Linked DNA regions of Arabidopsis thaliana. The protein of the gene in region 1 interacts with the protein of each later gene in a pairwise test. Each region holds a gene or a part of one and is shown on either strand. Other genes may lie near its edges.

The links.
Region 2: the proteins of KINESIN-12B (region 1) and FU interact in a two-hybrid assay, tested with the Arabidopsis thaliana proteins (one study listed by BioGRID).

Annotation. Positions count from the first base shown.
Region 1 is NC_003074.8:8,511,871-8,529,045, forward strand, and holds KINESIN-12B (phragmoplast-associated kinesin-related protein), read left to right. Parts: upstream 1-7,265; 5' UTR 7,266-7,419; coding exon 7,420-7,713; intron 7,714-7,949; coding exon 7,950-8,084; intron 8,085-8,182; coding exon 8,183-8,266; intron 8,267-8,351; coding exon 8,352-8,477; intron 8,478-8,562; coding exon 8,563-8,622; intron 8,623-8,719; coding exon 8,720-8,773; intron 8,774-8,861; coding exon 8,862-8,954; intron 8,955-9,259; coding exon 9,260-9,355; intron 9,356-9,508; coding exon 9,509-9,654; intron 9,655-9,835; coding exon 9,836-9,985; intron 9,986-10,073; coding exon 10,074-10,203; intron 10,204-10,276; coding exon 10,277-11,488; intron 11,489-11,572; coding exon 11,573-11,671; intron 11,672-11,761; coding exon 11,762-11,914; intron 11,915-11,990; coding exon 11,991-12,794; intron 12,795-12,879; coding exon 12,880-13,185; 3' UTR 13,186-13,419; downstream 13,420-17,175. Other genes in the region: AT3G23660 (Sec23/Sec24 protein transport family protein), read right to left, coding at 1,796-1,942, 2,030-2,134, 2,236-2,499, 2,593-2,754, 2,898-2,947, 3,043-3,148, 3,262-3,343, 3,474-3,643 and 5 more; AT3G23680 (F-box associated ubiquitination effector family protein), read right to left, coding at 14,496-15,090, 15,191-15,303; AT3G23685 (F-box associated ubiquitination effector family protein), read left to right, coding at 15,369-16,112, 16,199-16,447; AT3G23690 (basic helix-loop-helix (bHLH) DNA-binding superfamily protein), read right to left, coding at 17,063-17,100. UniProt on the Arabidopsis thaliana protein: Plus-end directed kinesin-like motor enzyme that plays a critical role in the organization of phragmoplast microtubules during cytokinesis.
Region 2 is NC_003070.9:18,599,688-18,613,712, forward strand, and holds the start of FU (kinase family with ARM repeat domain-containing protein), read left to right. Parts: upstream 1-6,823; 5' UTR 6,824-7,129; intron 7,130-7,349; 5' UTR 7,350-7,375; coding exon 7,376-7,465; intron 7,466-7,550; coding exon 7,551-7,625; intron 7,626-7,720; coding exon 7,721-7,813; intron 7,814-7,918; coding exon 7,919-7,993; intron 7,994-8,070; coding exon 8,071-8,163; intron 8,164-8,568; coding exon 8,569-8,632; intron 8,633-8,720; coding exon 8,721-8,805; intron 8,806-8,989; coding exon 8,990-9,062; intron 9,063-9,135; coding exon 9,136-9,204; intron 9,205-9,311; coding exon 9,312-9,392; intron 9,393-9,549; coding exon 9,550-9,622; intron 9,623-9,706; coding exon 9,707-9,859; intron 9,860-10,371; coding exon 10,372-10,507; intron 10,508-10,709; coding exon 10,710-10,881; intron 10,882-11,015; coding exon 11,016-11,117; intron 11,118-11,191; coding exon 11,192-11,686; intron 11,687-11,831; coding exon 11,832-12,971; intron 12,972-13,112; coding exon 13,113-13,346; intron 13,347-13,456; and 5 more. Other genes in the region: AT1G50220 (B3 domain protein), read right to left, coding at 3,271-3,655, 4,582-4,703, 4,784-4,888. UniProt on the Arabidopsis thaliana protein: Plays a role in conventional modes of cytokinesis in meristems and during male gametogenesis but also acts in nonconventional modes of cytokinesis (cellularization) during female gametogenesis.

The DNA.
Region 1 (17,175 bases):
TTTTCTAAAAATAGGTTAGTTTCTTTCCCTGTTTGGCATGTTCAAAAGAAATATATTATATATTATTCGAACTATAAACGGAAATAACGGTCAAGTAGCATTGAGTAAAGTGGGGTACAGTCTTCTGAATTGTGATGGTATATTATTCTCTGGCAAAGCATTTCAAAAATGAAGTATACGAAAATTTATTTATCCTTTAGTTAGAGATCAATTATTTTACTGTGTTTTGTGTCTGAAAATGGTCTACTTTATTTTCTTGTGCTTAAATTTTACTTCAGGTCTGCTATTTTTTTTACCCGGTTCTATCCATATCCGATCCAAATTATTACATCTTTTTGGGTAACTATAAATAAATTATCTTTTTGGATCAAGATAAATTATTTGATCCCATAAAAAGTATGAATCGATTGATCACTACTAGGAATATCCAGTTTACATGTTTAATTAGGTAATTAAAAAATAATTTGCATTCTACATTGAATACTCAAATATAATTGTATTCATCCATTTTTAAAAAAAGTTCTAAAATTTTCTAAAAACATTCAAAATACTTGAATTAAAATATGACATTTAGGGCTTGGCATAAAATCCAAAATTCAGAAACTGATTCGAAAAATCTGGTTCCGAAACCAAACAGTTATAAAATCCTAACAGATAAAGAATTCTCCAATTGAATATCCCAACCAAAAAGCGAAAGTATATCCGAAAACTCAAAATATAATTATATATCTAAAATATTAATTATAATTTAATACCAAATAACAAAAATATCCAAAATCATACATTTTTTACTTAATTTAACCAAATTTTATAAAAATTAAACCAATTTTGATTAGTAATGAACAAATTTTTAAGTTTTATTTTTTTCCTAAAACCGATTCGAAACTAAACTGGATGGTCATAAACCCGAACAAATAATAAATTTTTCTACCTCAGTTATCCGATCCAAAATAAATCCAAACCAAATCGGATGAGAAATCGGAATGTCCAGGCCTAATGAGTATTATATGTTAATGTGGAACTAAATTTTTATTACCAATTTGAGACCAGTAGTTTTGACATAGTACTTTTGGTGCTTTTTGATATTGATAAAATGTTGTGTGCTTTCATGTTATGTGCACCAATACTCCTCAGGTGAGGATTGGCTCTGGTTTCCTTTATAATATCAAATAGCTTAATACTCTTGGTAGAGTTAAATTCATTATAATGCTTTCTAGGTTGACCTCACACATCTTTTAGCTGCTCGAGATCAAAAGCTGAGGACACTTTCAGCTGAGATAAAACTTGATTCTAGAGCTTTATCTCTATATGATGAAGGTACAGCTGAGGTAGTACTTGACTCTGAAGCTCCATCTCTATATGAGAAAATAAAAACTCCATATATTTTAACAAATATAAATGTTTTTGTGAGCGCCTCCCTTGTAGATGAATTAACTTCAATATTTTAAGTTTGTTTGTGGTGGTGTAGTATGCATGAGACATCTGAGCAAACTCATTTGGAAAATAAGAATCAAAGCTAGGTTTTTAAGATAAAGATCATAGTGTAATATCTTTCTACTGAAAGAAGTTTGTGTAGTGAAGCTTTTCTTAACTTTTCTCTCTTGGAATCAAGATTTCATCTCTTCTCACTTTGTATATTTAAGTCCTTGAAACAAAAACAGAAAAGTAATGATGTTACAGAAAATTTATCAAAGAAAAAACAAAATAATGATAGTAGATGAAAGTAAGATGATAAAAAAAAAATCGTGTACAGTGAAGTTTAATTTAATGTAAAGTAAAGAAACAAATGGACTACTCAAGACTGCACAACCAGCTTCTGGAGATGCTCAAAGAAGACTTGAAGGCTCACGTCGTCTGTGAATATCACATCTGACCCTGTAGACATCTCGTTTGCATTGTTGTACGTCGCTGATGGATTCAGCTTCGCCAATAAAAACCTTGCCTGCATTTTCCCATTTGAATCCAATGAGATGTACAAACAAAATTGAAGCTGACAATTACATGAAAACAAATAGATAAGATTAATGACCTGCGAGCCATGCTGATCACAGACAACTAATCTTGGGACAGGGAAACGTTCCCGGACTATCATCTGGGAATCCTCTTGAGGAGCTTGCAATAACTCAGCAAAAGCCTATCACAAAAAAAGTTATAGTCAATGGAAGATTATATGTAGATAATCATTCAACTACAATGAGATGGTTCCGCATCACGAAAACAGCTAGTTATTAGTACCTGGTGTTCAGGCTGATGATGATAACCCATATTTCGCCATTGTGCTATAGTCATTCCATGGAAGACAACAACGCTAAAATATGCATCTAATAAAAGAATTCGATCGGCTGCAATGGAAGCCACATCTAGCAAAGCTGGTTCAGCTGGTGAATTGAATGAATATGTTGTTAACGACGGTTGGATCATGACAGTTGCATTCGAAATATTCTCCCGGTTTAGTAACATGCAGAAATATGCGGTTTCATCAGGGCTATTGTTAAATACCTGCCACCATCACAACCCCGGAAAAAAAAAAAAACAGGATACTAAGCTAATGATATGATGAACACAAACCATGAAATGTAAAAGTAGTGGTACCTGAACAAACTGCGATCGCCGCAGATTAAATATAAATTGAGGAAATAACGAAAAATAGGGATTCAGCGTGAAGGAGGCTGGATCATCCTTTCTATAGTCTCCAAATTTTGAACAAAGACGAATGAGATTCCGATCTAACCAGCGAGTAGCATCAAATCCCTCCTGTGGATAAAATATGATGAATTGTATATATAGACATGACTTAGTGATAAACCCTAGTTAACTAGTCCCTGCAGTATTTTCCAAGACACAATTTGGATCCTCCAAGTTCATATGACTAATATACAGCTGTGTGAACAATAAACTTTGAATCTCTTCTGTATAAATAGATAAGCATTTGAAATCCTAGGGACTCCTGTTGAGTATTATTCCCAAGGAAAGACACATATTTGAAAACATTTCCAGCATTAAGAGCTTACTCCCTCCACAAGAATACAATATAGCAACTACCAAACTGAAGTTTTCTACTGTGACGTACCTCTGACTCCATTTTCAAAGAAGCTAATCTAGCCATGACCACAGCAGCAGTTTCTTGGTCAAAGCCTTGCACAAGTTCCTGAAAAGTAAATAACCACCAGTAATATAAAATGCTTAAAATCACTAAGAAGCTTTTAGGCTATAAGAATCCTGCATTGCATTTTTGATGGTTATAGCTAAATGAGGACGAACCTCTGAACTCACAGCACTGTCTATCCACTGTCTGCATACAGTAGTAACCCGGAGCAATGTTTGACCTTCAGGGTTTTGATAACTGCAATCAAATAAACAACAGTAAATATGATACTTCGGACTATGATGCCCACAATGTACTGCAGAAAGGCACAGTTCAGGTGAAACTAAAAAACAAATAAAATTCAAGACTGAAACACTGCCCAAAGTACCTTGTGAGAAACTGCAAATAAAACTGTGGATTCGCAGCTCCAGGAGTATTTGACCCGCTTGAAGATATGTCAAAAAATATCGTCAAACACGTAGTTTTATCAAGGCCACACAACCTCCAAGCAGAAGTATTCCCCTCTCCGATAACCGTGTCAGCAACACTAGCACCTTTCTGAAAGGATCAAAATAAAATAAAATTTAATTTGATTAAGAACAGATAGCTTTGTTCATCTCACAAATCACTATCAATGCATTTTTGAGAGAAGTGGATCTTCATGTTTAACCTTCTCTAATGATGAGCATGGCCCAATAGCCCCTTGAATTTTGATGTCCTGTGAACAACAGATCTCAAGCGTCCCACTAGAAATAAACGATTCAAGGTCAGTTTGATGTAAGCACATAATTTAAATTCTTAAATACAAGCTTGAAGTGTATGATGCTTCGAAGGAAAGGTTATCACATTGCCAAAATTTTCTTTACTATGTAATAGATTTATCAAAGAGAGTGATGCATAAACAAAGTAGAAACTTACTTAAAGCAGAGGCCAAGAGCCTGATCGCCATCTTCAAATACTCGCTTGAAGGAATCTTTGAAAACAGAATGGCCAAAACTTTCAGACAGAACAACAAGGCCACCAGTTCTTTCAACTGCAACTTTCATCTCAGCAACACCAACCTAACTATATCCAAAATGCAACAGCGGAAATAATTATAATTAGATATCCAATAATAGTTGACAGCACGACAAGCTACAACAAGCAATGCCTTATGTTGACTAAAGACAACTACTGGAAGAAACACTGTAGAGGAAAACATCATCAAAAACAGGAAAATGAAGGGGTTTAACGATTATGGCCTAGATTTCATAGACTATTTATCACAGGCTAGTTAACAAAATTGAGGACAAGTGGGAGGCTTCACATTTTTTTTGTTTATATTGACCAACAGTTTAGTAAATCCCATTGCATATCAAGGCCACACTTCAGAGACAACAATAAAAGATGCATTCATTTTATAGACAAAAAAGTACTACACAAAAGATTTAGAATCCAGGCGTTGCAACTAATGCAAATTGAACTGCACAACCAAACTTGAAGAACTAATTCAGAGCCTTGCGCACCAACGATTTATAATTACGTCGCAGTAATACCTGATCAAGTGCAGAAGCAAAAAGGTCTAGAACATGACCCTGAGTGACTAGTTGCTTTGCGATGCTATCATAAAACTTGACAGCCTTCTTATAGTACGGAGCGGCATCTTTATCTAAATCTTTGTGAGAACGCACAGGATCCGACAAATCCTTTGAGACAATCTGTACAAAAGAGATTACAAATATGCTTCATACACATGGTGTGATCAAAGCTCACAATGCCAACAATCATCAACATATACTTACCGTTCCAGGGCCTTCCGTACATGGACCTCCGATCAAAGCTACAATTCTAGCCCCAGTTCCAGGCAAGCAAGCTCCAAGCAATCCTGCAGCTACACTCAATGCCACGCCTGTACATCGTTGGGACCGATGACCTGGCTTAACAGGCCACTGATCACTTTGTAGCTCATCCAAAAGCTACATACCAAACATCATTCACACAAAGATAGAAGAATCAGATGAAAATTTTCCGACTTGACAATCAAAAGCAAAGTCACTCACCGAGTTGAGTGTGAATTCGCACTCGGAAGCAGGCAACAAGAATCTATTCAAACCAGAACTCGGGAAGCCATTTTGAGGTCCTTTAGAACCTCCTCTCCTAGAAGAACCACCAAGCCCCAACTGATCCAAAATCTGATCTTTCGAAATCTCTTTATCTCCTTTAAAAACAAAAACTTTAGACATCTCAGAGAATCCCAATTCATGTACATGAGCCTGAGTACCAAACGACACAAATCCAACCAAAGCATTCTCCGGAAGCAACCCAATCGCTTGTTTAAGCGCCGATTTAGCAAAATCCAATTCTTCTTCAATCATACAAGTATCAAGAACAAACACAAACACCGGCGGATCCACCAGACCTTCCCCGTTGGCTACAGGCGGAGGAAGAGTGTATTCAACAGTAGTGTACTGAGGATAAAGCTCACCAGGAAGATTAGTCTCAGAGATCACATGATAATGAGGCGGGAAATGATTACGCTGATAACAAAACGGACAGATCCAAAGCTTTGCGGTGAAATCGACTTGTGCGTAAGCGTTTAACGCAGCGGAACAAGTCCGGCATCGGAGCGGTGCGTAAGGAAGAGTAGGGATATCGGCATGTCGCCGGATCGGAGAAATGCAAGCGGCGAGTGGGATCACGCATTTGCTAGCTTCAGCTTTGGAATGAGGCCAGACGTTCCATGTCATACGAACTCCATCGATTCCTTCTAGATCTGTATTCGCAGTCTCCGCCATTCGTTGGAAGCTTTTAGATCAGATCAGAGAATTTGAGTTTTTTTTTTTTTTTTCCTTAATGAAGAAATTGAAAAATCTCAAAATTCTTTGGCGTTATTTTTTAGGAACTCTAACGTTGACTGAGTATCAAATATTTCTATTTTTGTGTGTCTATACTCATTTCATTTTAGTTAGGATCGAACTGAGATCGTAGAAATTGAAATGGTAAGTCTAATTACTGATTTGTATTCCTAAGCTCAAACTTGAGTTTTTTTTTTCTAAAATAATTTTTCAAAACTTTGCTCCCATGATCATCTTTAGCCAGTTTCACCAACTTATCTTCATCACACTTCACAATCTCCTTCGAGAAGATCCCCAAAGCCACCACCGACTTACCGTCACCGAGAAGCTTCTCCACAACGTTTCTCCCATGTTTATGATACGAAAGCTCGATGCAATGCCATTGAAGCATACATGCGATGGTGTCCGTAATACGCTCGTTGGACCAATGTGTTTCCCACTTCCCAGTGTTTCCTTTGAAAGGGAGAGAGATTTAGTTTTTGGATTTCATACTTCACTTGAGAATAAGGTCTTCTTTTCTTGAAAACTTGTATGAAATATAACACGATGAGATAACCGAATTTATCGGTTCTAATATCGGTGAGCCTTTGCTTAATTGCTTCCAAGAATGTTGTGTCGACTTCTTCTGATTTTCCTAGGATTATTTGAATCATGCATGAGTGAGCCTCGCATGGTTTTGGTAAAGTCGATAAAAAGATCAGAATCTGATGCCAACTTGGAGGCAATCCTATGGAGCTCTACTATGTTGGAACGCGAGAGAATGTCATCAAACTTAGCCATTATCTCGTGCAAGTGTGGTCATGTGTGATTTTTCGTGTAAAATCGAGCTTAAGCACATGTTGGATCAATGAACTTCCTAATAAGAGAGCGTTCTTTGCGATTAGGTCAAGGAAGTAACCTTTGAAGCGATCTTCAGCTATTGATATGACTCTTTTGAGTACACAGCAACCGAATACGTCACCCGCTAAGTCAAGGATTATTTGAATCATGAGCGAGCCTCGCATGATTTCAACATAATAACCATGATTTCAATACAATTATGAATTAAAGTGATATATTTTTGTAGTCTACAAAATTATGGTTATTATTGTAATACAACACAATAACCATGATTTGAATCGACTGTTTAAATTTGGAGTTTACCTTCATTGGGCTTCGTTTATAAGCCCAACCCAACACAATCTAAAACCTCACGTGCCACGTGGGATAAAAATATCCTAAGAATAAATAACTCAAACGGTCGAACAAAATCATGGGCCCTAATTTGATCTTATCCGTTAGATCTATCATCTCACGATCAACGGAGAATAGATGAATAAACATGTGAATGCGTTCTCGATCTAGAAATTCAAAATTCTCGCCATTAACGGCTCTCTCTCAAACTCTCAAACTCTCTCTCTCTCTTCCCTTCTTCTTCGTTACTTTGCCCGAAACACTGACTGTTGCAGAAGCAGATTTAATTCTTCTTTAGGGAATCTTCGAATTGGTTAGCGCAGAGAGATGAAGCATTTCATGATGCCAAGGAACGCTATCTTGCGTGATATCGGAGAGTCACAATCGCCAAACCCTAGCTTGACGAAATCGAAGTCACAAAGGAAGATTAAATCTTCTAAAGAGAATGCTCCACCTCCGGATCTGAACTCGTTGATTCCTGATCATAGATCTTCTCCGGCGAAATTGAAAAGTCCATTGCCTCCGCGTCCTCCGTCGTCTAATCCTCTTAAACGGAAGCTGATTGCGGAAGCTACGGCGGATAATGGAGTAGCGATTGGGGTTTCAGACTCTGGTGTCAAGGTAGTCTGAGCTTTTTATTTTTTGTTTTTCTTGCTCAGAAATTGGAGAATGTTCGAAGGAAAAATCCTAATGTCTTGGATTAATTGGTCTAATTAAGTTCCAGATTTCTATAAATTAACAAAATGAAGATGATTGCTTGTATTTTTAGAAGTTTATAGTTACTAAATTGAAGAGAAACTATATTATGTTTTCTGAGTAAAGTTTAAGCTAATCTCTAAGTCTTTGGGCATATGTAGGTTATAGTAAGAATGAAGCCTCCAAGCAAAGGTGAGGAAGAGGAGATGATAGTAAAAAAGATCTCCAACGACGCCCTCACTATTAATGAACAGACTTTCACATTCGATTCGATTGCTGACCCGGAGTCAACACAGGCAGGCATTTAGTTTTCATGATTGGGGTTTCACTATACAATGTTATCTTATGATTTATATAGGCTAACAAGTCTTTATCTTTTTTGTATTCTTTGCAGGATGAGATCTTTCAGCTTGTTGGAGCCCCTCTTGTTGAGAACTGTCTTGCTGGATTTAACAGTTCTGTTTTTGCCTATGGACAGGTAGTCATCATTTCTCAATCTGTTTCTACGGGATTGAATTTCAATTTCTCAAGATGATTGTAATTCTAACATTTGTTTTCACCAGACTGGCAGTGGGAAAACGTATACCATGTGGGGTCCTGCAAATGGATTGTTGGAAGAGCACCTTAGTGGTGACCAAAGAGGTTTGACTCCACGTGTCTTTGAATTGCTCTTCGCCCGTCTCAGTGAGGTGATGCTTCGTGTTGTTTCCTTTCAGTCTGTTTCATTATGTGAGAGAGGCAGAACATTCAAAAGTTGATTTTTTTTGTTTGCAGGAGCAAGCAAAGCATGCTGAAAGGCAGCTAAAGTACCAGTGCCGCTGTTCGTTTCTCGAGGTTTAATGAGTGGATTCAACTTTAGTTTTTGTGCTTATGATGTTTTCATTTATCAAAGCTTGATATACATGGTTCCCTTTCCCATCTTTTATTGCAGATATACAACGAGCAAATAACAGATCTTTTGGATCCGAGCCTAAAAAACCTGATGGTAAAAGGAACTTGCAATTTCAACTTGTTTTTACATTTTTTAAGGAAAAAGAACCTGGGTTCATCATTTTTAATTAATATTGCACCAGATTAGAGAAGATGTCAAGTCCGGTGTTTATGTTGAAAATCTGACTGAGGAATACGTGAAAAACTTGAAGGATTTGTCAAAGCTTCTGGTTAAGGTTTGTTATATCATTATATTTCATGCTTTTCTACTTTGACAGTAGAGTAATTGCTCAAACGTACGTACACTTGTGTTTCCATTGCATTTCTCCTTAACTTTTAAAAGATGGGTGCACAACTTTGGTTTGTTATAAGAAAAAGAGGTCACACTACAGGACTTGGTAATACTGTGTATTGGACTTAAAAGATCTTTATATCGCCAAAGAAGTGTCAAAGTCTTGCAATAGTCAATCTGAGCTATTTTGTTGCTTTGCTTTGACATGAGTATCTTCAATAGTAATGCTTACATCTGAAACTGGTGCAGGGATTGGCAAACAGAAGGACTGGTGCAACAAGTGTAAACGCAGAAAGTTCAAGGTCGCACTGTGTATTCACTTGTGTTGTCGAGTCCCACTGCAAGGTGGGTTGTTCTCCTTTATTTTATTGTGCCTATTTAACTGGCAACTGCAAGTTTTAAGAATAGGCTATGAGGCTCAGATGCTTACTAGTCTAGCAATTATTATGAGGTGATGTCAATCTATATCTGACTATATTTGAATGTAATATGTAACAGAGTGTTGCAGACGGTCTAAGCAGCTTCAAAACAAGTAGAATCAATCTTGTTGATCTGGCTGGTTCAGAAAGGCAAAAGTTAACCGGTGCAGCAGGCGATCGTTTGAAGGAAGCTGGGAATATAAATCGATCACTTTCCCAACTTGGGTAAGATCAGAATAGTCTACATATAGATAGGCTGCTTATTGATTTTCTTTTGTATAGCATGCATTTGAATCTGGATTTTCTGTGCCGGATGTTTTATCTTGACATTTTACAGATGTGATGCTATAGTCTGAAACTGAGAATCGTAGATAAATGTAAAACTTACAAGTGTTTTTACTTGCAGGAATTTGATCAACATTCTAGCAGAAATTTCACAAACAGGGAAGCAAAGGCATATACCCTACAGAGATTCCAGGTTGACATTTCTATTACAAGAGTCTCTAGGAGGGAATGCAAAATTAGCTATGGTTTGTGCAGTTTCTCCCTCGCAAAGGTAAACCGAGAACCCAAATTTCTCTTTCAGAAATTATTCCACCCTCCCTCCACTTTTCTGCAAAATGAAATTGCATCATAAATTGCAGTTGTAGGAGTGAAACCTTCAGCACCTTGAGATTTGCTCAGCGTGCTAAGGCGATACAGAATAAGGCAATTGTCAATGAAGTAATGCAAGATGATGTAAATTTCTTGCGGGAAGTGATACGCCAGCTGAGGGTATGCACTCTTTGGATTATCTCAGAAAATGTAAATACAAAGTTGAATATAATATCTAATGTAAACTGTGCAGGATGAACTGCAAAGGGTGAAGGATGATAAAGGAAACAACCCAACCAACCCAAATGCAGCTTATACCACTTCCTGGAATGCGCGTAGAAGTCTGAGTTTGTTAAGAAGCTTTGGCCTGGGTCATCCAAAGTCATTACCAAATGGAGATGATGATGGTGATACTGAGATGGAAATTGATGAGGAGGCTGTTGAAAGGCTTTGTGCTCAAATGGGCTTGTCTCCACCTGCCGAGGACAACAATCAGGAGATGAGCAGAGTAGAAAAAATAAATTCATCATTACAGACTGTGGTCCTGAAGGATGAATCTTACAATAACTCCCACCTTAAATCATCAGAAGCTACAGATGTTAACATGGAGGATGCGTGTTGCCAAACTGAGAACAATGGGTCAGAGACTGATAATGCGTTAACTGTGGCAGAAACTATGGATGATGGTTCTAGTGTACAGCCTGATTCCATAACAAATTCTCTTCATTCTTGTATTAGCGACACAAACCAGGGAAATTCACCAAGCAAGGCGGAGAACATTCCATCATGCCAAGACTTGGTTATAGAAGCTGATGTTTCTGCAATTGTATCAGTAGCTGATACATCAAATAATACAGAACAGGTCTCAGTAAATCCTGTGTCGCCTTGCCTTAGCGTCGCTCCAGTAAGTGTTTCTCCTGTACTAATACCTCCCACTGAGAGCGCCTCTCCTAAGATTAGAAATAGCAGGAAAAGCTTGAGAACAACATCAATGTCCACCGCATCACAAAAAGATATTGAGAGAGCCAACCAGTTAACTCCAGAAGTTGTGGAACCGTCGCCAGCTATGTCCACAGAGGTGTTAAACCTATATAGTGCTTTGTCTACAAAGAAAAGTGAAGCTTTTCCTGTGCCAACTAGGCAATTGGCAGCTAGCCTCCACAGAGGCATGAAACTTCTTGACTCATATCGCCAGAGTACAGCTCTTAGACGATCGACATTCAGATTGTCCTACAAAGCTCTAGAATGCAAACCCTCGACCGTTTTAAGTAAGGCTGATGTAGGTGTTCAAACTTATCCCCAAGCTGATGAAATAGCGGAAGACAACTCTAAAGAAGTACTGTGCAGTAGATGTAAATGCAGGGCAGAATGTGATGCCCAAGAAATAAGTGACACTTCTAATCTTCAGTTGGTACCTATTGACAATTCAGAAGGTTCAGAAAAGTCTAATTTCCAAGTTCCTAAAGTAAGAATTGTGGCTTTCTTTAGAGCATTTCGTTCCGCATTTGTATAGTGTAATAGTATGATATGATTTTTCTGCACCTTACAGGCAGTGGAAAAGGTTCTAGCAGGGTCAATCAGAAGAGAAATGGCTATGGAAGAGTTCTGCACTAAGCAAGCCTCTGAAATATCACAGCTTAATCGGCTGGTATGATTCTTGCTTATGTTCTGTTGGTCAGCTTCTCTACTTTTTACATATAAAGGAAACCTTTCTAATTATCTCTGGAAAATTAAACAGGTGCAACAGTACAAGCATGAGAGAGAGTGCAATGCTATCATAGGACAAACAAGGGAGGACAAGATTGTTCGCCTTGAAAGTCTCATGGATGGCGTGTTATCTAAAGATGATTTTCTGGATGAAGAATTTGCATCACTCATGCATGAGCATAAGGTAAATTTTTGGGTTACCATTATTTAGAAGTTTATTGAATCAATGCAGATATGTTTTCTTACATATAATTGTGCAGCTTCTGAAGGACATGTATGAGAACCACCCCGAAGTATTGCAGACGAGGATTGAGTTGAAACGAGTGCAAGAAGAGCTCGAAAGTTTCAAGAACTTCTATGGTGACATGGGAGAAAGGGAAGTATTATTAGAAGAGATTCACGATTTAAAGGCACAGCTACAATGTTACACTGACTCTTCTCTTACATCTGCTCGGAGAAGAGGTTCCTTGCTTAAGCTGACATACGCTTGTGATCCTAACCAAGCTCCACAACTTAATACCATTCCTGAGTCAGTGGACGAGGGTCCTGAGAAGACACTAGAACAGGAAAGACTTCGTTGGACTGAAGCAGAGAGCAACTGGATCTCTCTTGCTGAGGAATTAAGAACTGAGCTTGATACCAATAGATTGCTAATGGAAAAGCAGAAACGTGAATTGGATACAGAGAAAAGATGTGCTGAAGAGTTGACAGAAGCAATGCAAATGGCAATGCAGGGTCATGCACGGATGATTGAACAATATGCAGACCTGGAAGAGAAGCATATCCAATTGCTTGCAAGGCATAGGAGGATTCGAGAAGGAATAGATGATGTCAAAAAAGCAGCAGCAAGAGCCGGAGTCAAGGGAGCTGAGTCTAGATTCATAAACGCACTTGCAGCAGAAATTTCAGCTTTGAAGGTGCAAAGAGAGAAGGAGGTACGATACTTCAGGGATGAAAACAAGAGTCTCCAGTCACAACTAAGAGATACTGCTGAAGCTGTTCAAGCAGCAGGAGAGTTACTTGTTCGATTTAAAGAAGCTGAAGAAGGATTGACATTTGCACAGGTACTATTATAGTTATATTTCTAAAATCTCACCCATATCCTATCATGTGACTCTTACTTAAACTTTCTGGCTTGTGTATTCACAGAAACGAGCAATGGATGCAGAGTATGAAGCATCAGAAGCATATAAAAAGGTGGACAAGTTGAAGAGGAAATACGAAACCGAAATCAGCACTGTAAACCAACAACATAATGCAGAGCCACAAAATCCCATAGAATCTTTGCAAGCTTCTTGTAATGACGATGCTATGGCCAAATATGATGAACCATCAGCTAGTGATGGTGATAACCAATGGAGAGAAGAATTCCAACCATTTTACAAGAAAGACGAAGAGTTGTCAAAGCTCGCTGAACCCTCTTGGTTCTCGGGGTATGACCGATGCAACATATAATTTCGTTTCCACAACATTATTTTTCTGTAATGTGTAATAGGAAAAAAAAGACATGTTGGGGTCTGATCCGATTCTGTGAGATATATCTGAAGCTTGTACTCTTTTCATTGTATTTCTAATGTGTTACAATTAAACATTTTTTTGTACTCGTCCATCTCTCATCTGAAAGAGGTCTTTGTTTGATTCCCTGTAAGAGATTAGTAGAGATAAAGAATCTGGAAGATGTGTTTCTTATGTTATGTTGTACAAACTCATTTTACAGTTTGATTTGTTCTCAACGGCACAACTCTCCTCGATCGTCACCGTCAACATCATAATGAGTAAAACCTTCTCTGAACATTCTACGCAATCTATGCGAATAACTCGTTGGCATCAATGTGACTACTTGTACAATCAACTCTGTAAATCATATAACTATTGAACACTGTACATCATTTGTTGTACATATGAGAAAAGAAATAGATTTCATTGTTACTAATTTTTATTTTAAAACATCTTAGCAAATCTTCATCATGATGCACATTAAGCTGGAAAGAAAACAGGTTTATGAAAGAAGAGTAATAATGTTCAAAGAGAAGAATGAGTAAATGAAAGACATACATTAGGCATTGTAAATTGAGTCTTAATCATCTCGTTTTCTCCTTTTGCGTTACAAACTCACTTTACAATTCATACATAATTTGTATTTGTCCATCTCTCATTTCAAAGATGTCTTTATTAGATTCCTGTAAGAGACTTTGATTGATCACATAAATAGAGATAAGGAATCTGAAAGATGTATTTCTTATATTAAGTGCTACTAACTCATTTTACAGTTTGATTTGTTCTTAACGGCACAACTCCTCGCTTTACAGTTCATTCGTATGAAAATACTATAGACGAACTAGAGAATACGCATGATCCAATCATCGAATCACGGGATCTGAAGAAAGGACTTAAAGAGTAGAGTTTTGCTTAGAAAAAAGCCAAGACCAATACAAGCTAAGACTAAGGTCCCTTTATTTTTCCTTTCATTGTTCTGTTTCCTAGATTCTTCAAATATGTGACTACTTCTACAATCCATTCTATATTGAACTTCTGAATCCCTTAAGTGATCGCAGCCAATATATCATTTGTTGTACATATAAGAAACAGAAATAGATTTCTTTGTTACTATGTTTTGTCATTAAACATCTTAGCAAATCTTCTTCAAATTTTATGATAGTAGAGTAATCTTGTTCAAAGAAAAGAATAAGTAAATGAAAGACATTACATAAGGAATTATAAATTGGAGTCTTAATCATCTTGTTATCTCCTCATGCATGTTGCTCTCATGGATTCGTTTCAAGTAAGACAAGTCTCGACATGTTTTCATCATATCGAAGCTTCTCCAATTCGCTTTCTTCTTCCCTTTCCCCTCCTTCAGGTTGCTTGATTTGCACTAAACTTGGAACATAAGAGCACAGATCTGTCTTACATCTTTGGTCTCCATAATCTCCAACGAGATCCAATGCCCTCAAGTATCCAGCCTCTCCAATGATGTTAATTGTGTGGCGATTCCCATCTTCAAAACCAATGGCGACTTTCTTCTCCTCGTCAATGAAGAAACTTCCATTTATAATAGGAACATAACTATCAAATCCAGCTGTTTCCACTCTCAAGAACTTGCTCCACAACACCTCTCCAGTCTCAATCTTGGTCGTAATCGATAAGTCAAGCTCATATGGATTTGATTCATCGTGCTGAAGTAAAACCGCAAGCTTCTCTTCTCTAACACAAGATAACGTCATACAGTCAATATGCCCACCACTAAACGGCAGAGGCAGAAGAGGACCAAATCTCTCACTTGTAAAATCAAAACAGATTAAGCGATTAGCAAAGACTTCATTTACATCTACGTTCCTTTTTGCAGCACACCAGTACGTGCTTCCCTTAAGAGAACGCCACTGTTACAAAACGCTATACGCAATGTGGAGTGACATCAAGAGTAGTCCACAAATCAGAGTCAAAATCGTAGATTTCATACCAAAAGAATTGCTTCTCGTGTGCATTGTAGTAATAATCTATCAACCTCAACAACTTGTAGTTACGACAAGAATCCGTATTCACGTATCCAAGAGCGTAAGAGAACCTGCACATATTCACGTATACGATTAACTTGCAAAAAGTGGAACGATTTATCCAAAAGTCAGAGCTTTATGAAGATGCACATTGGTCAAGCCGCAGCAAAGGAAGGTGAGTCTCAGATGATCGTGATGATGGGTAACAATCTTTCTTTAACGAGTATTATTCTCAATGGAGATCCATCTATAGAGCATAAAGGAAAACTTCCTTGCCTTGACGAACAAGTCAAGATATCTCAGTTCTATCACTGCGAGGGCTTACTGCTATGCATTTTAAAAGATGATTCTAGGTTTGTGGTTTGTAATCCGTATTTGGAGCAAACAAGGTGGATCGAACCAAGATATTCCCATCGTCCACACGGATGGGATAGGTTCTCTTACGCTCTTGGATACGTGAATACGGATTCTTGTTGTTACTACAAGTTGTTGGGGTTGATAGATTATTACTACAATGCACACGAGAAGCAATTCTTTTGGTATGGAATCTACGATTTTGACTCTGATTTATGGACTACTCTTGATGTCACTCCGCATTGGCGTATAGCGTTTTGTAACCGTGGCGTTTCTCTTAAGGGAAGCACGTACTGGTGTGCTGCAGAAAGGAACGTAGATGTCGATGAAGTCTTGGCCGATCGCTTAATCTGTTTTGATTTTACAAGTGAGAGATTTGGTCCGCTTCTGCCTCTGCCGTTTAGTGGTGGGCATATTGACTGTATGACGTTATCTTGTGTTAGAGAAGAGAAGCTTGCGGTTTTACTTCAGCACGATGAATCAAATCCATATGAGCTTGACTTATGGATTACGACCAAGATTGAGACTGGAGAGGTTTTGTGGAGCAAGTTCTTGAGAGTGGCAACAGCTGGATTTAATAGTTATGTTCCTTTATAAGTGAAAGTTTCTTCATTGACGAGGAGAAGAAAGTCGCCTTTGGTTTTGATGGACGTAACCGCGAGAGAGTTATTGTCATTGGAGAGGCTGGATACTTGAGGGGATTGGATCTCGTTGGAGATTTTGGAGACCAAGAATGTAGGACTGATCTGTGCTCTTATGTTCCAAGTTTAGTACAAATCAAGCAACCTGAAGGAGGGGAATCGAAACAACAAAGCGATTTAGAAAAGTGTCGATATGATGAAAACATGTTGAGGCTTGTCTCACTCTAAGCGACAAATCAATGAGCTTTGATAGGAGGAAGGAAAAAGGAGCCAACGAGATGATATTACTCTATTATTACGCAGAAACAGAGCTTTTATTTCAAGTCTTGAGTTAATGAAACTGAAGATTAAGATCATGTTCATGGTTCATTCTTATCTTTCTTCATCGATAATGAGCTAGTCGCTCAATCTTTTTCTTCTGGAACTTAGCTTAGTGTACCTTAAAATGCAATATTAGAGTCTCATGAAGTCAATTGGGAACGTATACGAATCGAAAGAGAGAACTTCTGTAATCAACCACTCGTACTCTCAATCTTGTTTCGTAAGAAAATGTGAAAAGAATATAAAGAAGTGAACAAATTTATTCCTGTTTCTTACAAGCTTAGAGCAATCATAATACATAACGATTGTAAAACAGTACAGAGAAAAGTTCTTGTCATATTTTTACATACTTAATCTGAAGTTTTCTTGTTTTTTTTTTGTTTAAGGTTGAGAAGAAATCAACAGAGACACAAGCAAAGAAGCAACGATTGTAAACATTAAAATTCCAATATGATTCACTCCGTTACTCATCACTACTTGGTTTTCTGTATGTACAACAGAGATAATAATCATAGCTATGGACTATGGTTCAAGCTTCATCTGAAGCGTTGGCTCAGAACCTGCAACATAAAGATACGAGACTTTAACAACATAAGAGATAGTTCTATAATTTCGATAGACGAATTTGCTTCTAA
Region 2 (14,025 bases), on another chromosome or scaffold:
TCTTTATAAAGTCTTTAAAAACATAGGTAAATACTTTAAAACCCCTTTTTAAACCTTTGTAAATCATTTTAAAACTTTTTACAATAGTTTTACAAGATTTACAATCGTTTTTTAAGCATAAGTAAGTGGCATTGAATGATTTACAAGGGATTTTGAAAACTTATAAAAGGGTAAAACATGATTTACAATCGTTTTAAAGCATAAGTAAGTGGCATAAAATGATTTACAAGGGATTTAAAAAAGGTTAGCATGGTTTACAATCGTTTTTTAAGCATAAGTAAGTGGCATTGAATGATTTACAAGGGATTTTAAAAGCTTATAAAAGGGTAAAACATGATTTACAATCGTTTTTAAAGCATAAGTAAGTGGCATTGAATGATTTACAAGGGATTTTAAAAGCTTATAAAAGGGTAAAACATGATTTACAATCGTTTTTAAAGCATAAGTAAGTGGCATTGAATGATTTACAAGGGATTTTAAAAGCTTATAAAAAGGTAAAACATGATTTATCATCGTTTTTAAAGCATAAGTAAGTGGCATAAAATGATTTACAAGGATTTTTAAAAAGGGCTAGCATGGTTTACAATGTTTTTTTAAGCATAAGTAAGTGGCATTGGAATGATTTACAAGGGATTTTAAAAGCTTATAAAAGGGTAAAACATGATTTATAGTAACGAAAACGACATCGTTTAGAATGGTTAACGGAGGTGTTAACGGGAGTTGAATAATCCGTTAACGACTATTTTTTTTGGCCTGGTCAACGAAATATTCATGGTTTAAATGGTGGTCAACGATAACATCATGTTTAAAATGACCATATATAAAGTTGACGTATAAAACGGTTATAATTTGAAAATTAGGGTATTAAATAACATTTTTCTCGTTATTAAAAAGCAATATATCTCTGCAAATGGACACACCAAAAAGCCAAACACAATTTGATCAAATTACCATCATTACTCCAAATTATCATCGTTATTCAAAGTATTTCAAAGTTAAGACATAAGTTCGCAAGAAGACACTTCACATATCCAGCTACAGATGATAACTGGATGAACCTGTAAGAAATAAAAAGTTAAAAATGAAAGTCAGATACATCAACAAGAACCAGTACTAATTCGATTAGAGTCATTCACATCTAAAATCAATCTGAGTCCAGTTTTCAAAGAACACAGTTTCAATCACAGAGAGGCAGAAAAAACATACTTGATCAAGACCAAAAACTCCAAGAAATGTTGCAAGTTATGTCTTCAGTAGACAAAATAGATGCATATAATAAGAGACTAGCCATAGAGAATACTTGTGATATAAGAAGAAATCTGCAAAAAAAGAAGAAAAAATATTATTATTTTTACAGAAGGAAAAAAGATCTCGGATGAACTGATTCAGAAAAGTATTTGGACACAGAAAACTAGTAGTCGTTCATCAACGACGGAAGTAACTCCCTAGTTGCAGCAACTGCGTACCGCATATCCCTTAAGAGTTGTTTCTTTTCCAGCTGCTCATTTACAATGGTGACAAACTTGAGAACAAAAGAGAAGCTAACCTCAATATGCAGCATTGGTCGCTTTATATGCTGATCCCAGGGGTGTGCTTCATGAGCAACAATTGAAGCTAACATGTGAAGAGAGTTGGGAGCTGTTGGAGAAAATTTCATTATCTGGAAGAGAAAATATAGGTAATCATTAGGCTCTAATCTTTCTGCAGCATATATACTATCATACTTGACACACTTATTCACCTGATATGCAGAGCCAATGTTGGTTAAGAAAATGGAGGAGATTGGGAAGCAGATAATTGTAAGGTGTGGAGGTTTACCTCTAGCTATAACAGTTCTTGGAGGATTTCTGGCAATGATAAGTACATGGAACGAGTGGCAAAGAGTATATGAGAACATCAAATCATATGTTTCAAATGGAGTTAGTAGCAATGGAAGTAAGAACATGCTAATTGCATATGTTGCAATAGTAAGAGACGACACAAGCAAAAAAAAACAAAAACATTCTATGCATGCTTTCTTGAAATTCAAGGTATTCCAATTAAATAAAAACTACAACAGAAATTAGGGTAATAGAAAGAAAAAACCGAACACTTAAACTAGAATATGAATAATGGATTTAAAAAATATACCATTTTATTATATAAAATACAATAAAGAATTAATTTTACAATTAATTATTAATCCTAAAAGAAAAAGAATTCTAAATACTCACCTCTATATAAACTAAACAAATAATCTGTTATGTTCTCATCAAACAAATTAAAAAGAACTTTAAAAAACACCATCAATTGATACAATAAAACATGCAACGATTTGAATGGATGAATAATTCAAGCTCCGAGTTAAGCAGGAAGTTCCGTGAAGATAACGTCCAAGTTGATGAATGATTTATATTTTCGCCAAACAGATTTTCCATCACCAAAAAGTAAGGTGTCATTTTCGATAGGTTTGCTTGGGATATGTTTCTCAAGACTGTAGACGGAGACATGTTTGGTAAGAGATTTTCTGAATCTCAGCTACAATGATGAGAATCAGAGAATACTCAACTTGCGGGACGAACATGTACAGCTTGGAGAGGAGTTGCGGCTCTTGAAAAGGAATATATGCCTCATTGTGCATGATATCTGGGGGAGAAAGATGCTTGGAATTCTCTGACATAGGTTTTCTTGTGTGTTAAGCAAAACCTTTCCTCTGGTCTATCTGAACCAATAAGTATAAACCTGAGAGAGAAGAAAGAGAGGAAATAAAGTTCTATTTCTATCAAAACGCCATATTCAACACACCAACGCATCAAAAGCTTTCTACCAATGAAAAAATTCTGGTAATTGAATTACCGTAATTCCCTACACAAGTCACATGTGTAGAACCAACAACTCGATCAGTCAAAACTTATTTCCCTCTCACACTAACGTTGGTGCTTTCATGATTACTCGTATTGTGTGATCTAAGAAGAAAAAGGTTTCAATCCTATATATTTTTGAGATTCAGTGTATATTTTACTCGATTCAATGTTTTTGAGATTGTGATATATTTTACTCGATTCAATGTTACTTTTTTTTTTTTGTAATTATAAGAGATGACAAGAAATATAACAAAAGAAACAGCTATGCAGCTTGCTCTCTTGAAATTCAAGATATTTCAATTAAATTAGATTTAACAACTACAACATAAAAATTAGGTCAAACAAAAAACCAACACTTAATTAAAATATGAAAACGAAAACATAAGTAATTAAAGCAACTAAATATAGGAAGATAGATGTAAGCAAGCTACACAGGAATCATTATTCCCATAGTCTTATGCTGAAAATTGAGAACAATGAATTTGTTTTCAAACTGATCCCAATAGAGCTTCTGAACATCGCCTTCTACGAGATCTAATGAATGCTTCATAGTACTCCAACCAGTCCCGAAATAATACTTCATGTCGTCAATTCTTTTCAGGGTAACTGTGTACAGATCGTCTTCCATTATGTCGTGGACTTGCACTTCAAAACCGTTGTCCAAACCCTCATCTGTGACACCATTCATCCTCGTGAGGACAGACATCACTTGCGCTTTTGGTAATGCCACATTACCAACAATGTCACTCTTTGTTAGAGTCTTTGATATGATCATAGCCCCGTCTAGTTCATCTCTAGCATAATTCATCTTGCTAAAATTTTAACCCTAGATCTTTTGCAAGTAGAAAGAAAATTTGTTTATATTTCGTGTTCTTAGATGTAAACATATTTATAGGAGGCTTAACCCAAGAAGAAAGGAAAATACAAGAGAAAAGGACTCCAATTCTTCCGTTAACAAAATAGAAATTTTTCTTATCGGAAAAAAGGAGATTGTTTAATAATTTCCTTAATACTCCCGAAACGGAAAATGGCAAGAGGGCATTGTAACTTGGAAAGAAAGTTATTGATTCAAGGCATCAAAATGAAGCTCAGATTTTCTTAACATTTTTTGCTAAAATGTTAATATTCATATAAATGAAAGTTCGGACTTACATATTGGAGTACCTAAAACAAATGTAATCTTGACAAAAAAAAGGTAAAAACAAGATTACAATAATTTTGGAAAAGATTTGGGTAAATCTATCGGATCCATCGAATCATTAACTTCTTAACTTCGGAGAAGAACATTGAGTACATTGATACATCTCGCAGTCATATGGCAGAAAGAGTAGAAGTTTCTTTTAAGAGGTAACTACCACCAGATCCTTGGAAGTTGTACTACTGGCCATGCAAAATCTCTTAGTTTCATTAAAAGTTTATGTAAATTATGGTTTTTAGTTCTAATTGGCTAAAACACATAACACTAATTCCTTAGAAGCCACCATAAGTGTTTTCTTAATTATAAGGAACTAGTAAATCAAATTACAAGCGAAAAAGTCAAAAATCATATAATCTAATGTTCGTCAAACGGATTGCCTAATGTTCGATTGAAGAAGTCTTCTCTGCTATTCACTCGAGACTAAGTTAAATCCTGAAATCAGATGGTAATCAAACGGATTGCCTAATATTCACTCGAGGCTAAGTTAAATCCTGAATTGTTCTAGCGAATCGAGAATATAATAAGCTGAGAATTTCTTACCTCTCAGTAATGTATAGTTCCTTAAACCTAGCCGAGGTTACATCTAAAGTTACATTTTTGAGACGAGAGATCATGGGATGGAAATCATCATCAATCATATATTCATCCAACAAATCCGGCTCCTGCAAACAAACAAATAAACAGTGATTTCCGGAACTTTTGTTACGCCATTTCTATGACAAGTTATATATAATGAACTTACATATATTGACATGACGGCTAGATAAAGTTTGATAGCTTCAATATTCTTGAGGTAATCGTCGTCTTTTAAAGATGCTAGCCACCGGTCCCAATGCTTTATCTTCATTATCACGTAATGGTTTGGTCCTGAACAAAGAAAAAAAAAACATATGATAAGATCATAAAGAACTAATGTCACAATGAAAACTGAAAAGCAATTTGAATAAGTTAATTAATGCCAAAATCAGATAAATAAAATCGTTAGTCATTCTCATTTTCACAGTAAAAATATGAAACACAGAATTATTAATGATGAGACTTAAAAGGTACATACATGTTCCTCCTATGATCCGAAAAATTTCTGAAATGCCTACAAAATTTTGGAGGCTATATATGCTCATCTTTATTATATCAATCCAAAGTGTAGCCACTTTCTCACCAAAAGAAGAATCTCGAACAGAGACTTTAAAAACATTAAACATCGGATCAAACCTATTAAAACCCTTGTTGAATCAATTTAGGTGTTACATCTTTGAGAGAAACAGTAACCGAAACAAATTAAAAATTTTACTTGGAGGTGGGGGTTTACATGCACGTGCTTTGCATTTCTTCTTCAAGCCTAAAGCAAACGCGGACGCATATAGCAGAGAAGACGTCTGCAATATGCTTTCGTGTGCAAGCAAGTATGATTTTGGCGGTTGGGAAGTTTTACAATCGTTTGATATATATCATGCACGGGTAAATGTATAAACTACCGTATCCATAAATTATTATCATATTAGTCATTTTTAATTAATCGTAAATAAGAAATAAATAATAAATTTAATTAAAATTTAAATTAAATTAAATAAACGAATAGTAGCAAACATAAATTAACTGTTCGGTTGATGGACGTTAACGTTTCGTCATCTTTTAAAGATATATAAATTTGCTTATTTTATTGTGAATTTGAAACCATTTCCTTTTGCTTAAGATTTCTTAATGATATCACTACAAAATTGATGAGTTTAACATCAGTTTAAAAAAAAATCTTAATATCATTTTTAAAATGATGCTCGAATTATAGAGTCATTTTAAAAAGAGATACTAAAACTAGTGAAGGTAAAAAATATTTAGTATCATTTTTTCAAATGACACTATAATTCAATCTTAGAACATGATTGGTTGGGATGTAAAAGATTTATAAAGCCACTAAAAAACCTACAATCAATATTGAAACAATCATGTTTTAACTTTCCTATTTTTTTCTCACACCCCAAATACTATATATTTATATATATATTTTAATTATTTTGGCTGTAAGTGCAAGTTTTTCTACAGCATAACTTTAAGATTTTTAGAAGGTCTATATTTTTTTTATTTTTTTTTTCACTTTATTTTTTTATTTTCTTTAAAAATATTACTATATTTTATATATATATATATATTAAATTTAGTTATATGGATATAAATAGTAGGTAAATACCTACTTTATGACATATATAACTCACATTGATAATTGGGAATAATATTATATAAAGTATAATTTACCAATAATATTTTTTTATTTAAAATACATACTATCAAAATCTTATTTCTACAACTAATTTATTTAAATAATTATATTATATCAATAAAATATACATCCTAATTTTTACAACAATAAACCCTACGACTACAGTCATCACACCTACATCAAAAATTTTATAGTAATAAATCTATAACTACATACCGACGAACCAATCACCCACTTAACATCATTTCTTTTTGTTAGTATCATTTCTTAAAACGTTTGTATAGATATTGCTAGGTGTCACTTTGAAACGATTAGAAAATATATAGTTTGTTTCATAATTTGAAATTGACGTTAATTATTATAATATTAGTTATAAGTTTTTTTTTAATGTTATGAATAATAATCGGTGATTTATGTGGAACAGTGGAAACAATATTTTATTTATAATCAAAATAATATTTTAGGAACCAATTTGGAAAATGATAAATAATTTATATTTTTGAGTTCTTTTGTTTTTAAAATAAACCGGAAATTACGACTTGTGGTTTGTTTTTACTTTTTTATAAGGTTTGAGAGAGAGAGAGAGAGAGTACACACTACTCTGACTCAAAGATTTTTCCCTCTTTTTGAATTTCAAAAGTTTCCGAGAATATCCAAACGCAGAGTTTATCTCTCTCTTCAACCATCGATCCAACGGATCTCTCCTAGTTTCACCGCCGAAGACCTCCTCCGCTGTTTCTCGTCGCCGACTTCCCAGTTCTACCATCTCCGGCAGCCACCACTTCGCCTATTTTACGCATTTTCGTGAGCCACGGTTCAATATTCTTCTTTACTATCTCAAATCTTCGATTTCCCCGTTTACTCGCCAATCAGGTTTAGGATCTGCATTTCAAGCTTAATTTGGATGTTTCCAGTTTTTCGATTCGCTACTTTTTGCTTATGCTAAACAAGAAATCGGAACGGAACCCTAGTTTAGAAACTAGCTTTTAATCGAATTAGACTGAATATAGTAGACTCTCCCTCAATTCTGCTTATTTGGGTCTGGGTACCGTCATTTTACCGTTTGAAGCTAAAACGGTGCTTTATTTGACAGATAAAAAAAGCCAATCGTGTTCAGATATGGGTGTCGAGGATTATCATGTGATAGAGCTTGTCGGTGAAGGATCTTTTGGGAGGGTTTACAAAGGAAGACGCAAGTATACCGGCCAGGTAAATTGTTGCTGGGTTGTTCTCTTTGTTATCATCGGCTACTTAAAATCAGCTAATCAATTCTTAATTTGGTAATTTTTATCAGACGGTGGCGATGAAGTTCATCATGAAACAAGGAAAGACTGACAAGGATATACATAGTCTAAGGCAAGAAATCGAGGTTAGCAAGTTTCAGTCCTTAATTGCACTTACCATCAACTTTAATCCCAATCAATTTTATGGTATTTGACCAACATTATTTCTTTTATGCCTCAGATATTGCGGAAGCTCAAGCATGAGAATATCATTGAAATGCTCGACTCCTTTGAAAACGCACGAGAGTTCTGTGTCGTCACTGAGTTTGCCCAAGTACTTTTCTCACTGTAGATTGTAGAATCTAAAGTACTGATTTATGAAGCATATAGCTAGACTTATATGAAATAAAGAATCACCATGGAACACCCAATTTTACAGGGTGAATTGTTTGAGATTCTTGAAGATGACAAGTGCCTTCCCGAAGAGCAAGTTCAAGCAATCGCAAAGCAATTGGTAACACGTTTTGCCAACATGGCTCTTATTTCTATATCTGATTATTAAGACAATTTTGAAACTTCTTTAAAATCCAGGTAAAAGCATTAGATTACTTGCATTCCAACCGTATAATTCACCGTGACATGAAGCCACAAAACATTCTTATTGGTGCTGGCTCTGTCGTTAAGGTAATATAACATTCCTTTTGCTGCTTCCAGTAATTAAGTTTGAAATGCTGTTTCTATGCTTCCCACACACATGAGTTGTTCATATTCTTGTTTCTTAAAGATAAAATTTAGGAGAGAATTATCGTTACAATACGATTCTTCTACTTTTTTCCTCTTCTTATGAGTACCAGATTACGTGCTAACTTCTTGAAAATTGATTTATGAACCATGGATCTTTCCGTCTATGATTATTTCAGAAAACTAAGTTAATCATGTGAGTACTAGAAGAGGATACGGCTAGCCAGGAATCTCATACACTTAGCTAAATATAAGTAGAAACATAAGTATTTTCAATGCGGCTTGATTATATGATTTCTTTAACTTCTCTTTGCCATCAACTAACTTGTCTCCCCTTTGATTTTTCAGCTATGTGATTTTGGTTTTGCTCGAGCTATGTCCACCAACACTGTGGTTTTGCGATCCATTAAAGGTTAAAGATCTTTAATTTCCTTAGACGTATTAATGAGTGAATAAATCAATAAGTCTCTCCTTGTTATTAATCCAAAATATCACATCAGGCACTCCGCTGTACATGGCACCAGAGCTTGTGAAAGAACAGCCATACGATCGCACTGTCGACCTGTGGTCTCTTGGTGTTATATTGTAGGTGGAGAAACTCATCTGAGTTGTCGTACTTCAATTGTTATTGTTATGAAAGCTATTACATCTATAAATGTGATGATTCTGATGGCTTTTCTTTCATAGTTTTTTGTTTTCTGTATTCTTTATGTTATCCACATTTCAATGCACTTGATATGGTTCTAATTAATCTCTTGTAATACATCAGGTACGAGTTATATGTAGGTCAGCCTCCCTTCTACACCAATTCTGTGTATGCTCTCATTCGTCACATTGTTAAGGTATATCAATATTTTTTTATTTTTCCATAGTCTATGCTTAAAGTATGAGCTAACGTTTTAGTGAATCTTCAAGGATCCTGTCAAATATCCTGATGAAATGAGTACTTATTTCGAAAGCTTTTTGAAAGGATTGCTCAACAAGGTGATATATTTATTTTTTCTTTAAGTTGTCCTTTTTACCATTTATTGATATGTTTGAGACCATTGCTGGACTGGGTTAAACTGTTTTTCTATTACTATGCGAAACAGGAACCCCACAGTCGATTAACCTGGCCTGCTCTTCGTGAGCACCCTTTCGTTAAAGAAACACAAGAAGAAGTTGAAGCCAGGGTAATGGTCTGATATTGATGACTTATACTTTGCAGCTTGAGTCCAATGTACAGAGCATTTTGTTAAAACTGTCTTTTTCATGCAATGTAACGGATCTCAAATTAAAACATGTTGTTGGAATAATAGATCACTAAGAACATTTTGAACGCCTATTCAGGAAATCCATACTGCAGTAGTTGACAATAAGGCAGCTTGGATGCTCAAAGGAAATGGAGGGCAACAGAGAAATGGTTTGAATCTCTTCAGTGTGTGGTTAGAATCTATTTCTTAATTAATTTTCTCCTTTATTAAATTTATAGTGTTAAATGTCACAGAAAAGTGCGACTCAGTGACCCTGGTTGAGGACATGTCTGCTACAAAAGGTCTAGCTGACGTTCAGTCAGATATGAAGAGTGCTGTCAAAGTAAATTCTCCACCCACTGAGGATTTTGTGGGATTCCCAACCCAAGAGGAGATAAAAAGTTCAGGTAGTGGGACTTTGAGAATCAAAAGAGTTATCCAACAGATAGATACAGTAATTTGAGAAATGCATGTTTAGATATATTTCTGATGATGATTTCCATATCAATCTAACAGACATATATTCGGATATCATCCTTTCATTGTTGGTTATGACCAAATGCATTTTTCTCCTTCATCAAAGCGTGTAGTTAGTATGCTCTATTGTTCTAGGTTTACAACTCTTAGAGCTTGAGTTTTACTACGCTGTCATGCTATGCTTGATGTTTGTTTAGATTAACACAACTCCTATGACATAAGGATTTTTTTTTTTTTGAACTTCAGGTTTTGTATATTTCATATATAAACCCAGTTCTCCTTTTGTAAATTTTCATGTCTTAAAAGATTAGTGTCGGAATATTCACATACATTTTGCTATCCGTGATTGAACCTTAGCTGCCTTCGGAGTTTCTTTTGCTTTCTTTCATAATGGACCTATATATCATTCTCATTCATGCTTGGGTTGTTTTCCCCGTTTCAGGTAACCCAACACTGGACAAATTGGAAAATACATCCCGCACTGTTAAAGGTGCACAAGTTATAGGTGAAAATGATAAAGCATTGGACCTTGTTTTGCTGTCACTGGAAAGATTTTCAAAATCGCCAGATTCTAAAAGGTAAAATTTGGAGTTCTTTTATTATATAATGTTGTGCTCCTACTTGATCATACAAACGGGAACAGAAATAGGTTTCTTACATAAGATAGACTCTAAAACACGGTTGCAACTTTCTGGTTTTATGATCTATTACTCTCTTCCAGTAAATTGTTGTATATTTCCGCATACATGCATATTCATATTTTCGTTCATGGGTGTGCAGGGACAAAGATGTTGCTTGCTCTGTTCAGTCCCTCAGGATCATCTCCAATTTGGTTGCAACTCGTGCCATAGTTTCAGTTGGACTGATTGAGAAAATAACATGTGCACTGCTAGACTTTACTGACGCTCTTGTTGGGATGAAATCACCCGAGTTCAACAACATAATACCAAAGGTGAATCCTCTTGACCAAAATGTCTGTCATGTGTTGGATTAGATACCTACTTTATTTGATAGTCAGCCTGCTTTCCACAATTAACAAGTAAAGAAAGTTCAATGATTTGTAACACCGACTTATTTCTTTATCAGAGTCTTTCAGTCACTAAAAACTTGGTAGGGCATGTTGAAGGCAATAACATACATAGTTCTTACATCAGGCACTGGACCAAAGTAGTGGAAATCTTCATACAGGTGACTTTTTTGGCGCATAAGTCTCTTGTGAGATTAAACCACATGTACTAATTTTTTACTTTATGTGGATGTAGGTCGTTAGATGGGAAGAAGAGGGAACTGGTAGAATTATATATGAGGCCTGTTCTTGCATCACAACAATGTTATCTCGAGTTGCCCAAGATCTTAAATCTTCAACTCCTGATTCTGTTTCTAAACAGATTTTGGAGCATGCTAACATGTCTCGCATAGTTGATCATTTGTGTCTTTGTCTGGCTTCTTCTGGGTCGAGTTTAACTTCCGGCTCTTCGCAAATGTTAGCAGCTGCCTGTGAAGCTTGTCGAGCAATATGGATTCTCATAGATACTTCCGAAACATTCTTCAAGAACGATGATGTAAACATATTACCTCTAGATGCCTTGCAGAACCGTCTCTCTCAGCATGACATAGGAAACAGTGAGTGGGGTCCGTTATCTGAGAAACTTGTCGATACAGTGACAAGAGCATATCTCCGATCAAAGCATGTGCAAGTTGCTGTTGGTCATTGCCTTCACCAACGAGTGGAGGCTCCATTGGTTTCTGCAATTCAGGTGATTATGTGATGCTTCTCTTCTTTTGTGGCTATCTTAACAAAAAATTTGTGGGTTGTCTCTGGATTCACAGCTATAATTGAATTTGTGTTTTTTTTTTTCCGCTCTTTAAACTTAACTGGAAACTACTTATGTAATGCTCCAGCTCTTGTCAAGATGCTGCCTTCATAATGGAATTCTGCCTAGCATGCTTTGTGGTCTTCCCAGTTCACTGCCTATTACGACCGTAGTCAGTGGTGGAGAGGATGGTACAGTTATTTCAGAAATATTTTCTATACTATCATACGCAACATTATCAAGCAAAGACCAGCAAACAGGAGAAAAAGATAACTTCGAGGGCAGACTAAACAATCTGGTGTTCCATTCATGCCTTATGTTGGCAACAGTTGCTCAATGTTTGAAGTTAACTGGGAGAAATTCTGTTCTGTTAATGCTTACAACTTCTCCAAAGAAGCATCAACATCGTCTTTCTGCTATAGCCAATCACATTGCCTCAGATGATAAAATCGAAGCTTCTCTTCAGAATCACTCTGCTTCAGCTATGCTTGCTCTCGCATCTATTCTCGCTCTTGAAAAAGGATCTTCTGCTGGATCTTCTGTCTCTGAGCTAGTGGTGTCTCTGATTCCTCGAGCTACTAAGCTTTGTTATCATCTTAGGCCTATGCCAAGTAATGAAGGTGAAGTCATCTCTCATTCTGCCAATTATGCCAAATGGCACGGACTTCTGGATGGATGTATCGGTTTATTAGAATCCAGATTGAAGTGGGGTGGACCTCTAGCTGTGCAGCAGCTTATTGCTAGTGGTACGCCATTGCTTCTCATAAATCTGTTAGCTGGCAAACTTTCAAATGCTTCCCCAGAGGACATCAAGAAGACATCCAACCGGATTGGCTTGTCCCCTATTGGCGTTGTATGGACTATTTCGTCCATATGCCACTGTCTTTCGGGTGGCACAACTTTCCGTCAGGTTCTTGTGAAAATCGAAACCATGAAGCTAATTACTTGTTTACTATCTGATGCTCATATCAAGCTAGTAAAGAGCTGGGGAGGTCCGGGGGGAGGAAAAGATGGGGTCAGAGAGACAATAAATGTGATAATTGATCTCCTAGCATTTCCTTTTGTTGCTCTGCAAAGTCAACCAGGTTCGTTATCTGCCACAGCTTCTGTAAATAGTGGATTCATTCTCAACATTGGCTCTCCTGGTGTGAGAGTATGCATGGAAGATAGAGATTTGCTAAAAGCTATAGAAGAGGATATGGACAAATACATAATAGTCCTCCTGGAGGTTAGTTCGTCGATTCTGTTTCCTTGATTTTTACATACTTTTGTTTGAATGTTGATTGGTATCTATTTGTTTTCCTCTCATGATTCATGAGCTGAAATCTCGTTATTGTTACAAGCTGTATTTTTTAAATTTTTTTTTCAGGTGGGAGTGCCGAGTTTAATCCTACGTTGCTTGGATCATTTGGAATTAAAAGATTTAGTAAGGCCCGTTGCTTTTCTTGCCAAAATGGTGGGTCGTCCACGTCTTGCTGTAGATCTCGTGAGCAAAGGTCTGTTAGATCCTAATAGAATGAAAAAATTACTCAACCAATCAAGTCCAAGAGAAGTCATACTTGATATTTTGATGATCATATCTGATCTATCGAGGATGGATAAGGTAAGCGTTTTATAATTACGTACGATGCATTCTTTTTGTTACCTATGCTTAGACACAGTACAGTGAAGTAAATGATGTTATCTAATTTGGAACAATTGTTAACCGTACAGGCTTTTTATAAATACATCGGCGAGGCTTCTGTTTTACAGCCTTTGAAAGAATATCTTACCCATGTGGATCCAAATATACGTGCAAAAGCTTGTAGTGCTCTTGGCAATATGTGCAGACACAATGGATATTTCTACAGCGCTCTTGTAAGTTACAGCACTAAGCTTCTTTTACTATGAGAGGTCAAACTTTTCATAACAGACTGTTCTTTCTTACATGGTCTGCGTGGTTACTATGTGCAGGCGGAACATCAAATCATCGGTCTCCTCATTGATCGATGCGCTGATCCGGACAAACGAACACAGAAATTCGCTTGTTTTGCTGTAAAATCATCAAAAAACAGTTTTTTATTCTCCACTTCCATGATACTTCTGATCAAATTTTAAAAGAGGCCTTTTGCATTTTTCTTTCTTTTTGCAGATTGGAAATGCGGCTTACCATAACGACACGCTGTATGAAGAGCTAAGAAGATCTATAACGCAGCTAGCAAACGTTTTGACCACGGCTGAAGAAGACAAGACAAAAGCAAACGCGGCTGGTGCATTGAGCAACCTTGTCCGAAACTCCAACA